Arabidopsis thaliana: one gene and its partner. The protein of the gene in region 1 purifies or fractionates together with the protein of each later gene. This does not show direct contact. Each region holds a gene or a part of one and is shown in the gene's direction. Other genes may lie near its edges. The genes, in order: SGT1A and CR88.

Region 1 (5,399 bases):
GGAACCAATTATTTGGAGTCTTGATGCAAATTCATGTAGCCTTGGAGCTCTGAAATTGTTCTTCTATATGTTTGCTGATCAAATTGTTAAAATAATGGTGAGACTGAGACTCATGGTTTAAATACTAGCAAAAATGGTAAATTTAAAATCCCCCTTAGCCACGGACCTTGAGCAAAGAGTCTAGTGTATGTGTCTATATATGGTTCACCTTTTGGATAAGAAATCAATTTCAAGCTCATCTTTCTACATAGAGAGAAACTTGGATCTTGTACTTTTTAAGATGGAAACATCCATAAAAAGGTAAAGATAAAGCTGATATGGCAAAACGCCAACAAAATCCTACAAGTAAATAAATCTTGGGCCAACTTTAATGTTCCTAAAAGAAATGAACTTAGCTACAAAGTTACTAGTCACGTCTCTGCTGCCAAAATTCTTGACACATTCTTTACACTTCTTCGAACAAAGAGAATGGTTTGATCCACAAAGGATGCAATGCGCACCGCTTCCACAACATTTGATCTGTGGCATAAATCAATCTTGCACCATAAGGGCTTGAAACTTTCAGCTTTTGCCACTAACACTCTAACGCAAACTTGTGTTAGACTGCAACCAAATGAAATATTTGAGAAGCACCAGATCCATTAACAGCAACTATGAGCCCATTACAATGATTTGCCTCCATCAGTGTCTTGGATCGCTAACACTATCCAATAACCAGCCTAGCTGGTACTTAGACAGAATTTTTTTTTCTTCTGGATCTGTGAAAATAAATGTAACATGAGCCATTGACTAAGATCTAGCTCTAATTAACTCAGTCAAAACGACGATCAAAAGATTGAACTATTGGAAATGGAAGGGGCCGCGCGAACGCAGGCCCCCAAGGCAACAAATAATGACGCAGGATCTCCCACTTGGGGTGACCTTTGGCTTAGCGCACCTCAAGTGCAGGAAGCCACCAGCCTAGGCCACGGATCTTCATGATCACCCGTAAACCCCGTCCAGGTAAGTAATTTGCAATCCTCGACCATCTTCTTTATTTATACTATGCTACACACGAGTGCCCATCCTCAAACTTCCGATGAGGGAGCATCAACATTATCTCGTATCTACTATAGGCAGGCTTTCGTTGTTTGATTAGCCCAAGTTTTATTTCTTGATAGGCCGCAATGTCTATATTCCGGTCCAAATCAAACCCAACAGATTTTTTTTTTGTCGGCTATTTGTCACAGATTTCTTTTTATATACGAGGAACAAGGTTAATTATATTGAACTAAACATTAAAAAAAAAAAAGAATTTTACAGATGCAGGTTGATATTTAACGTTATTGTGGGTCAACTCAACTCATAAGCAAAGTTGATATGATACTATTTAAATTGACTTCACCACATCCACTTGACACTAATAAATTGACTTCTCCATCCCTATCCACACATATTTGAATCTTCCAATAAGGTTCCACGAAACTGCTAGGAAAACAATATTTTCTAAGGCAATAGTCCCACTTTGGTTAATCATAAAATTGTCAAATCCACTATGTAATTTGTGATCCATAATAAATTAAACCAGTTATTCATCATCTAAGTCAGACACTATTTTAACTCTAGAAAACTTGACAAAGTACATGAAATGTTTTTGAAGTGAAGTAACAAAATTCCAACATGTACAAAATATATATTTTTTTTTTTAAACGAAAATATATACACTAGAGACCTCACCTATTTTTCTTAATAATATCAAATCTCACATATTTGATGTACACACAAAATTAAATTTATAGAAAATGAAATATATTATTTTAGAAAAATAAGGAGAAACTTTGTGGAAAAAATAGAAAAATATTTAAATTATTGTTTTTATAAATTTTATTTTGGGTTCGAACTCTTCAACTCCCTGAACACAAGTCGCATAAAACGAAGGAACAATCTAGAAGAAGAACGATAACATCCAATCTCTCTTTATATTCCTTCCTTCCATTGTGGCAATAAGTAACAAACCTTGCCCTCTACTTCATTCCCTCCTTGTTTTGATTTCATCGTCTTTGTTAGCTCTCCTCTGTTTTTTTTTCTTAGTCAATCGATGGCGAAGGAGCTTGCTGATAAGGCTAAAGAGGCTTTCGTAGACGATGACTTCGATGTTGCTGTTGACTTGTACTCCAAAGCCATTGACTTGGATCCTAATTGCGCTGAGTTCTTCGCTGATCGTGCTCAGGCCTATATCAAACTCGAAAGCTTCACTGGTAGCTTCTTTGTTCTGTTATCTTCGTCTTTTACTGTCGTGGACGCCTTCTGGGGTTCTGGGTTTTTGTATGTTTTCGGTTTCTTACTTCATCATAGCTGAAAGTTGTTGACTTTGCTGGATTATGTGTATTTAGGGTTTCGTTTTGTGTCCTGTCGCTTGATAGTGTCACAATTCTTTTCGAAAGTTTAAAGCTTTCGTATCAATTTGATACTAATGTGTCTCTCTTTTGCTGTTTGTGGAGGAACAATGTATCGGAATTGCTTTCATGAGAAACGAAATTTAGTTATTTGTTATCAGTAGCGAGTGCCCTTTACAAGTTATGCATTCAAACATTGGTTTAAGTTGGTTTTAGCTGTGCTAGTCTTTTGATTCTTTGATTGTGAATATGGAGAATTTTGTTTACAGATAGTGTTAAGTATTAACGGAGTATTGAAAGTTTCAATTTTTGCTTGAGTGATTAGTCTTTAGTTCAACTATTTCTTGCTTTAAGAAAGTATTCTCTGCATTTTTAGCGTAGTATCATAGAACTTTACTAGTTGGATAAGATTTTGGTCTCATTTGATTCTCAATGAGCAGAGGCCGTGGCAGATGCGAACAAAGCAATTGAGTTGGATCCTTCATTGACCAAAGCTTACCTAAGAAAAGGGTAACGTTTTGCTATTTCCTCCTATGTAACATTTTTAAGTCGTATATAAGTTGTAGTGAGAGTTTAATTTTCTCTGATTCCTTAGTCCTTAGATTGTTTTACTACCAGTTTATATGGTCTGCAAATGTGGTATATATCTGTCAAGCTATTACTTCCATTGTTCATGGTTTGGTTTTTGTATTTGTAGAACTGCCTGTATGAAGCTTGAAGAGTATCGGACTGCTAAAACAGCTCTTGAAAAGGGTGCCTCTATCACGCCGAGTGAATCCAAATTTAAGAAGTTGATAGATGAATGCAATTTTCTAATCACAGGTATGTTTTTTGTGTTTTTTTCTTGTTTTCTGGTTGATTATGTTTACATGCCTAGAGTGATTGTATTGTTTGCCATGGTGCAAAATATTTTGTTATGTAATTCACCTAAGGTTTTGATCTATGGAACTTGTAAATATCCTTTTTCCAGAAGAAGAGAAAGATTTGGTTCAACCGGTGCCTTCGACTTTGCCTTCAAGTGTGACAGCACCACCAGTATCTGAACTTGATGTCACCCCTACAGCCAAGTACAGGTAGTTTTATTGTAGAAAACAATACCAAAGTTTTTAAGAATCATTAAATATCTGATATTCTTGAGTGTTAACAGGCACGAGTACTACCAAAAGCCAGAGGAAGTTGTGGTAACTGTTTTTGCAAAAGGAATACCCAAGCAGAATGTTAACATCGACTTTGGTGAACAAATTGTGAGTATAAGGCTCTTAAGAACCCAACTCAATGGCACTTCTGTGTGCTTGTGTGTTAATGGTATTGTTTTGTGTTTTGAAGCTGAGTGTTGTGATTGAGGTTCCTGGAGAGGATGCGTATTATCTCCAACCGAGATTGTTTGGAAAGGTAATTTATCTGTTGAATGAATTAATGTTGGTTTTTCTTTCAACACTCTGAGCTGAACATGTTACATGACTTTGTTTTACGGTGTATATTCAGATAATACCAGATAAGTGCAAATATGAAGTATTGTCGACCAAAATTGAGATCTGTCTTGCAAAAGCCGATATAATCACATGGGCCTCCCTCGAACACGGCAAAGGGCCAGCGGTTTTGCCAAAGCCTAATGTCTCATCAGGTTTTCTACCTTTTCCTTCTTCAGTGTCATCTGATGAGCTTAAACAACAGTCTCTTGTAATGTAAATCTTATGTTGTATGTATGATGATGCAGAGGTTTCACAGAGGCCAGCTTATCCATCTTCTAAGAAAGTTAAGGACTGGGACAAGCTGGAAGCTGAAGTGAAGAAGCAGGTCCGTCTCTTACCATGTACTTAAAACCTCGACCAAACGGTTTTGTTTTTTCTCTTCTTTTGTTTGATTGTGGTTGACTTGCAGGAAAAAGATGAGAAGCTGGAAGGAGACGCAGCTTTGAACAAATTCTTCCGGGAGATATACCAGAATGCGGATGAGGATATGAGGCGAGCGATGAGCAAATCATTTGTGAGTATCTCTTTTCATGGAGTACTGTAAAAGTTTTGTCCTTTTGATCGACTCATTTATGGTTTTCGGGTTTTGAACAATGAGCAGGTGGAATCGAATGGGACAGTGCTGTCAACAAACTGGCAAGAGGTTGGGACTAAGACAATCGAGAGTACTCCTCCGGATGGCATGGAGCTCAAGAAATGGGAGATCTGATCTGATATGATATGATGATCCTTTCCTTTTTATGCAGTTGTGAATTTTGCCTAAATGTAGACAAATCTTGAAACCTGGTCCCTTTCTTCCTGTAATGAGGATCCTAAGGTTTTTGCTTTTTTGTTAAATATGGCTTTCTACCTCTGCTATGTTGTGACTTGTGAGTTATATTGTCTTTAGGTCTCAACTTTTTTGTTTTTGTTTTTATTTGAGTATTCATAATTTCATCATGATCACTATTCTTTAGTTTTTGTTAAAACTTACTTAATTAGTCTACAAAACCAAATATATCCCAAGTATGGAGTTAAAAGTCAAAGAATTGAGTTAACCTCTCGATCGAGTTGTAAATTGTCACTTTAGAGTCGTCTCGATCGAGTTGTAAATTGTCACTTTAGAGTCGTTTTAAACTTAAGTATGGAGAAAGTGATTTTTTATTAAAGAGTTATACAATATTTGTAATTATGAAAGGAACTACGTTACCGACTTGGTGTTGTCCAATGGTATATTTTCTAGGTAGAGATGTTGGATTCGACATCTTTAGAGATATGTTTTCTTTAAAAGAAATGAATTTAACTTGTTGTAGATCCTGCTTCTCGAACATATAGAGCCTTCGAACTTAAACTTCCATATATTCCAAAGAAATAAAAAACCCACGTTATTTGTGTAAAATTTTTACATCTCACAACCTTTATTTTCCGATAAAATTGTGATTTTTTAATATATATTGACATGGAATATTCTTTTGATTATGCAGGTGATCAGAGCATCGAGTCAATAATCCTTAATGTTCAATAATCCAATCAGCCGCACGTAATAGGAGAAGAAATCTATTTGTTTTTAAGG
Region 2 (7,006 bases), on another chromosome or scaffold:
ATGCAGCGTATCTTGAAGACAAATGCTCCTCCGGTATTCATCACGTCCGAGGAGATTGTTTATTGCTTTACTTTTGGGTTTAGTTTCATATGGACTTAATTAATGTATATTTGGGCTTTGAATATTTGATATTAGTTTGCTTATTCTTTAGGCTAGGGTTTCCATTCTTTTTCTCTTATTTTAAGAGATGTAATTCATTATTGTAATTAGTTTTTGATTATTGAATAAACGAGTTTTAAGAGAGCTTGTCTAAAGCCTAGAGAGGAGGACTCTCAACCCTAAAAGCTTGTGTTCAAGCCCTGCAAGGAGGATTTGCAAAACCTCATCGATATCGTTATCGATCTCGACCTTATCTCTATTGCTTCTTCATCAAGTTTCGGCGTTCTAAACAAAATCCGTTCGTTAATCCGAGTTCTCATAGAGATTTTGTGTTTTCGTCCGTTATTTAGCTTCCGCTCTCCATCAGATATTACTTTTGTTCAGTAGACCATTCATAAATACCTGCCTTGGATCCAAAAATAGGACAAATAAACATCATTTGCATCATTTTATTATTCTTAAAAGAAATTGCAAATTTTTGACCAAATTGCAAATATTTTGTTTTTAGGTTATACCCAATACCCACATACTGTATTATAGTCGTAATAAAAAAAGGAAAAGTTGCAAAATAAGTAGAGGACAGTGAGAAGTTGGTAACTATATATGTTTTGGTTAATTTAGTTATGGGTATGGAGTCTATAACGTATGGTTTCGATATTTCCAATAATTAGCAATCGTGTATCTTCGTTAGCATCAACATTGTTGTATTTTATTTAGTGCACACCTTCTCATAATTTCTAAATCAATAAAATTTTAATATCATTTTATCTTGGTATATGTCACTATGTATGTGGTTATTTTTATGCTTCCATGTTTTTATTTTTTTTGCCATGGAACCATTAGCTTAGGTTGAAAATCATCGATTGTAAACCTATCATGTTTTCATTTTTATGAAATATTAGGTGATCATCCGCGCTACACCACGGTTTTTTCGGATGTTTTTGTATTGTTTAATTTAAATATAATTTTTATTTATCTTATCATTTACTCATGCAATAAGCAATTACATTTAGTATTAAAATATTTTTTTCTAACCACATTCTCAACAATGCATCATACACATAATTTCTAAACAATGTTTATCTTAAACCAATTTAACAGAGGGTAGTGTTGGATTCTATAAACCTAAGAATTTAATGATGGAGCTCCTTACATATTCTTCACCCTCAGTTATTTATTATATAAATATCAATTTAAGAGAATATAAACATCAATTTAAGAGAATATAAACATCAATTTAAGAGAATAACTTAGTTAAATTATTAAGTAATATACTCATACTTTGAGTTTGGATTACCATAAAAATCTTCGAGTATGAGAAAACTATTAAAATGATTTTATTAAAAAATCATGTGATATTAAAATAAATTTAGTAAAAGTACAATTAAATATGTATAATAAAATAATATGTAAAATTAAATATAAATATATCATTAAACTATAGATTTGAAATTGAAGAGATTACATTAATTATTTAATAAACACATGTCAAATGCTAAAGTGATGATGTGTCTATCATATGAAGAGAGTTGGCCAACTTTCATATATATAATTTACGAAAAAAAAAAAAAAAAACAAATATTCAAGATCTCTTTCTTGATATGGGCCAATTTGATACGAAACATTTTCCAGCCATAACCTTTCGTTTTACTTTATACGGGCTATAGGCCCATTATGGGTTAACGTGTAGGCCCAATAAGGTGTTTTTTCAATTTGGTTTGCATTTGGTGTGTGTGTGTGTGTCAGCTACAATTTCTCAAGGAGAGGCGCGTGTAAATCAAACGGATAATCCTACGGTTTTGATGAAATGGCTTCTCGTAGACCTCACAATCTCTAAACATCTCTTCTCTTTATACGCTCTTCTTCTAGAAACCTCTCTTACCTCACTCTCCTTAAACCTTTAATAGGGTTTTTAGGTTACTCTTTGTTCAACTACTACAAACTCTTTTCTCTTTAGAGATTGAGAGATTGTAAAAAAATCTCAAATCTTTTCCTTCACAACTTTCAAATCTAATGGCTCCTGCTTTGAGTAGAAGTCTCTACACATCTCCTTTGACTTCAGTTCCAATCACTCCTGTCTCTTCTCGTCTCTCTCATCTGAGAAGCTCGTTTCTCCCACACGGCGGCGCTTTAAGAACCGGCGTTTCGTGTAGCTGGAATCTCGAAAAGAGATGTAACCGATTCGCCGTGAAGTGTGACGCCGCCGTGGCGGAGAAAGAGACCACTGAAGAAGGGTCAGGTGAGAAGTTTGAGTACCAAGCTGAGGTGGGTTCTCTTTCATATCTCCTAAAGTTTCAATCTTGTTTTCTGGGTATCTCTCAACTTGATGGGGATATAAAGTTTTAAGATTTGATTGTTGAAATCTTATCACAGGTTAGTAGATTGTTGGATTTGATTGTTCATAGCTTATACAGTCACAAGGAGGTGTTTCTCAGGGAGCTTGTAAGGTGAGTCAATTTTGATGGATTGTTTTGGAAATGATTTGTGTGTTTCTGTCAAAATCTGATTTTGAATGTGTCTGTGTATGTTCAGTAATGCAAGTGATGCTTTGGATAAGCTGAGGTTCTTGAGTGTAACAGAGCCTTCTTTGCTTGGAGATGGTGGAGATCTTGAGATTAGGATTAAGCCTGATCCTGATAACGGCACCATCACCATAACGTATGAGAGACTTCTCATTTTTTGTTTTACTTAAGTATTGAAAATTGAATAGAACAGGTTTACTTAGAGAGGTTTGATGCGTATATGCAGTGATACTGGTATTGGAATGACAAAGGAAGAACTTATTGATTGCCTTGGAACTATTGCTCAAAGTGGTACTTCGAAATTCTTGAAGGCTCTAAAGGTTTTTTTTCCATCTCTTTGAAAACCTGTTGCTAGCAAATCTTTGATGTCATGTTTTCGGACTCATTGTTTTATTGCTCTCTTTATTCAGGAAAACAAGGACCTTGGTGCTGACAACGGTTTGATCGGACAGTTTGGTGTTGGGTTTTACTCTGCTTTCTTAGTTGCTGAGAAGGTGAAGACTTTCAACTTTTGTTTTTTAGTGTCTTCTGGTTAATGTATTTCTTACGAGGAATGGACGTACAATTGTCTTTGCTTTCAGGTTGTTGTGTCCACCAAAAGCCCCAAATCTGACAAGCAATATGTTTGGGAATCGGTTGCCGATAGTAGCTCGTATCTGATCAGAGAAGAAACAGACCCTGATAACATTCTACGTCGTGGAACACAAATCACCTTGTATCTGAGGGTACTTTTCTTTATTCATTCATCCTTTCATTTGATGCGTCAGATCTCTTATAGTTTGTTTGACTGCTTATTCCTGGCTGCAGGAGGATGATAAATACGAATTTGCGGAGTCTACAAGGATCAAGAACCTCGTGAAGAATTACTCTCAGTTCGTTGGGTTTCCTATCTATACATGGCAGGAGAAATCAAGGACTATAGAGGTGAGGATGAAAGTTTTGTTTTTGTAATCATATTAGTGTATTCACATTGCTAATATGGTTTAAAATTTGTAACTTGTGGTAGGTCGAAGAGGACGAACCAGTTAAGGAAGGAGAAGAGGTAAAAAAATTATGTTGTTTTAATTGTGTGTATCAACTATCAAACAGTCACAACCAAAAGACTGTTCTAGAATTTTGTTTACTGAGTTGATTTTGTTACTTGTTTGTTTCCAGGGTGAGCCAAAGAAAAAGAAGACCACTAAAACTGAGAAGTATTGGGATTGGGAACTAGCCAACGAGACCAAACCGCTATGGGTAAGCCTTGGAGCTTTAGCCTGCGTTTTGTACTTTTCTTTCAACATGTTTACTGATTATTTTGTGTCTTTGAATAGATGCGCAATTCGAAGGAAGTGGAAAAAGGAGAGTACAATGAGTTCTACAAAAAGGCTTTCAATGAGTTCTTGGATCCACTTGCTCACACACACTTCACAACTGAGGTCTTTATACTTATACACTATACACTATATTTATGTCAATTTATGAATTCTTCAATTGGTGCTTACTAGTCTCTGTATTGTCTTGATTATTAAAGGGTGAGGTTGAGTTCAGGAGCATTTTGTACATCCCTGGGATGGGTCCTCTTAACAATGAAGATGTTACAAACCCGAAAACAAAGAACATTCGTCTCTACGTGAAGCGTGTGTTTATCTCTGACGATTTTGATGGAGAGCTTGTGAGTCTTTTATGGGTTCTTTCTTATGTAGAAATCTCTTTAGATTTGTGGTTCAATTTTTATCTGACTATGTTACCTAATCTGTTTGCAGTTCCCGAGATATCTGAGCTTTGTGAAGGGAGTTGTGGACTCTGATGATCTTCCTCTTAATGTTTCTCGTGAAATTCTCCAAGAAAGCAGAATTGTGAGTGGTGCAACTGTTAGTGATACAAATGTTTATCATATATGAATATCACAAATTGTAACTGTACTATCTTTCGTGATAATGTTCAGGTAAGAATCATGAGAAAGAGGCTCATTAGAAAAACCTTTGACATGATACAAGAAATCTCTGAGAGTGAAAACAAAGAGGTAGGTATCTCATTATCCTAATTTTGTTTTGAGCTCATTTGAAAGCCAGGGATATTCATGTTGTACAAACAATTCTAGGATTACAAGAAATTCTGGGAGAACTTTGGTAGATTCCTTAAATTGGGTTGTATTGAAGACACCGGTAACCACAAGCGTATCACACCGCTACTTAGATTCTTCAGTTCCAAGAATGAAGAGGAATTGACAAGCTTGGATGATTATATCGAGAACATGGGAGAGAACCAAAAGGCGATCTACTACCTCGCAACTGATAGTCTTAAAAGTGCCAAGTCTGCCCCTTTCTTGGAGAAACTAATCCAAAAAGATATCGAGGTATATGCTTCAAGACTTGTTTTTCAACTTCGAGTTTCTGTTTAGATTTGACTTTCTCACCACTTGCTTTTGTTAATTATAGGTTCTATATTTGGTTGAACCAATCGATGAAGTTGCTATTCAGAATTTGCAAACCTACAAAGAAAAGAAATTCGTTGATATCAGTAAAGAAGATTTGGAACTCGGTAAGTATGGTTTAGCACTGCTGACTGCCCGCACATTTCTCTCAACCATTTGTTTGTAACAAAACGTGTCCATTCTCGCAGGAGATGAAGATGAAGTAAAGGACAGGGAAGCGAAACAAGAGTTTAACCTTCTCTGTGACTGGATAAAACAGCAGCTCGGTGACAAAGTTGCAAAAGTCCAAGTCTCAAACCGTTTGAGCTCTTCTCCTTGTGTGCTTGTCTCTGGCAAATTCGGGTGGTCAGCTAATATGGAAAGGTTAGTACTTCAGCAAAAGCTTTATAACCTGAAATCCACATACCATAAAACTTATGTGCTTGTTCATTGACTTATGTGCTTATTCATTGTGAAAGGCTAATGAAGGCACAGGCTCTTGGAGACACTTCAAGCCTGGAGTTCATGAGAGGTAGGAGAATACTAGAGATCAATCCAGATCATCCCATCATCAAAGACTTGAACGTAAGTGTGTGGTATAATATTCTCTCAGAAATCTCTTGTCTCGAAAAAGCCTTATTAATTTTTGTATTCTTTTGGTACAGGCTGCTTGTAAGAATGCACCAGAGAGCACTGAAGCAACAAGAGTGGTCGATCTCTTGTATGACACTGCTATAATATCAAGTGGATTCACTGTAAGAAATCTGAAACCTTTCTTGTTTCCCAGTAAAAGTCTTGGACCATTTTACTCACTTATATGTGTTTGTTGTACAGCCTGATAGCCCGGCCGAGCTCGGGAACAAGATATATGAGATGATGGCAATGGCGGTTGGAGGAAGATGGGGCAGAGTTGAAGAAGAAGAAGAAAGCTCGACTGTGAATGAAGGAGATGACAAAAGCGGAGAAACAGAGGTAGTTGAACCATCTGAAGTGAGGGCAGAGAGTGATCCTTGGCAAGATTGATCCTTTTTTACCTTCTTTTGTTTGCAGTGATTTTTTTTTGACAGAACGCTTTATCTTTCCATTAGCAGTATCATGGGCCTAATGAAAGCCCATAATTAAATCACGCGTGAACGAGATTTATCCAATACAGTATTTGTAGTTTTTTTTTGATAATTAAAATAATTTTAGAGAATTTACACAAAAAAAGCTTTTAACAAAAATATTTACGAATATTTGAAAAATATTTGCATTTGAGTTGTATTAAATATTCTGAATTTACATCCTCTTATTATTAAAAAGAAAATACAAATTGAAAAATAGTCTAATCTGCCATCAATTTTCAATTTTGGATTTTGTACATTATTAATCAAAATCGTCTATGGTAATTTGGTCATCACTCTATATTCCTTAAATACACTATATTTCAAATTTAAATAATATTTCTTAAACACACTATATTCAATACTTATCACCTATTTATTGTTTTTTCAAAGATTTAAAAAAACTAAATATAAAAAATCAATCTAAAATAAACCAAAAATATAGTTATTAATTTTACATATTTTTTATTAAAAATATTATGTTGGCAAACAATATTAAGAGCTCGCGAATTAATTAGTGGAGCGGATTAGAATTTACAATAATTCATAATTATGCATATGGAATAAATTATATTTAAAAATCAATATTCGATATATCAAAATATGGTACAATCACACATTTTCCGGATATTATTTAAACTAATAATCTTAACGGTCCATTAAAACTTTCCAAATCAAAATGATTTCCAAATCAATCATTTGATGGAAAATTTCTTGGTCAAAATTTAAATCAAATACCGACCTGCAATAATGGGTTAGAATTTGTATTTATTTGATAGAGAATGAGTAAAATGGAATTGTTAATGACCTTGGACATATCTAAATTTATAATTACAATACTAATTTGGACGTAACACGAGTTAAACTAAATTATATAATTCTAATAC

Evidence for each region.
Region 2: the proteins of SGT1A (region 1) and CR88 purify together in Arabidopsis thaliana (affinity purification with western blotting, with the first as the bait; one study listed by BioGRID). This does not show direct contact.

The regions. Positions count from the first base shown.
Region 1 is NC_003075.7:12,297,938-12,303,336, forward strand, and holds SGT1A (phosphatase-like protein), read left to right. Parts: upstream 1-1,940; 5' UTR 1,941-2,077; coding exon 2,078-2,237; intron 2,238-2,812; coding exon 2,813-2,885; intron 2,886-3,072; coding exon 3,073-3,197; intron 3,198-3,345; coding exon 3,346-3,448; intron 3,449-3,522; coding exon 3,523-3,619; intron 3,620-3,701; coding exon 3,702-3,767; intron 3,768-3,860; coding exon 3,861-3,999; intron 4,000-4,092; coding exon 4,093-4,172; intron 4,173-4,256; coding exon 4,257-4,361; intron 4,362-4,448; coding exon 4,449-4,556; 3' UTR 4,557-4,782; downstream 4,783-5,399. UniProt on the Arabidopsis thaliana protein: Functions in R gene-mediated resistance, but participates in a lower extent than SGT1B to RPP5-mediated resistance. Not required for RPM1, RPS2, RPS4 and RPS5-mediated resistance.
Region 2 is NC_003071.7:1,279,871-1,286,876, forward strand, and holds CR88 (Chaperone protein htpG family protein), read left to right. Parts: upstream 1-1,883; 5' UTR 1,884-2,112; coding exon 2,113-2,364; intron 2,365-2,472; coding exon 2,473-2,546; intron 2,547-2,631; coding exon 2,632-2,757; intron 2,758-2,847; coding exon 2,848-2,941; intron 2,942-3,031; coding exon 3,032-3,115; intron 3,116-3,202; coding exon 3,203-3,346; intron 3,347-3,428; coding exon 3,429-3,545; intron 3,546-3,627; coding exon 3,628-3,663; intron 3,664-3,776; coding exon 3,777-3,857; intron 3,858-3,934; coding exon 3,935-4,039; intron 4,040-4,134; coding exon 4,135-4,275; intron 4,276-4,366; coding exon 4,367-4,459; intron 4,460-4,548; coding exon 4,549-4,626; intron 4,627-4,704; coding exon 4,705-4,959; intron 4,960-5,041; coding exon 5,042-5,144; intron 5,145-5,225; coding exon 5,226-5,400; intron 5,401-5,495; coding exon 5,496-5,601; intron 5,602-5,681; coding exon 5,682-5,771; intron 5,772-5,850; coding exon 5,851-6,039; 3' UTR 6,040-6,274; and 1 more. UniProt on the Arabidopsis thaliana protein: Molecular chaperone required for chloroplast biogenesis. Essential for chloroplast biogenesis and maintenance, and thus for embryogenesis. May be involved in the disassembly of VIPP1 for thylakoid membrane formation and/or maintenance.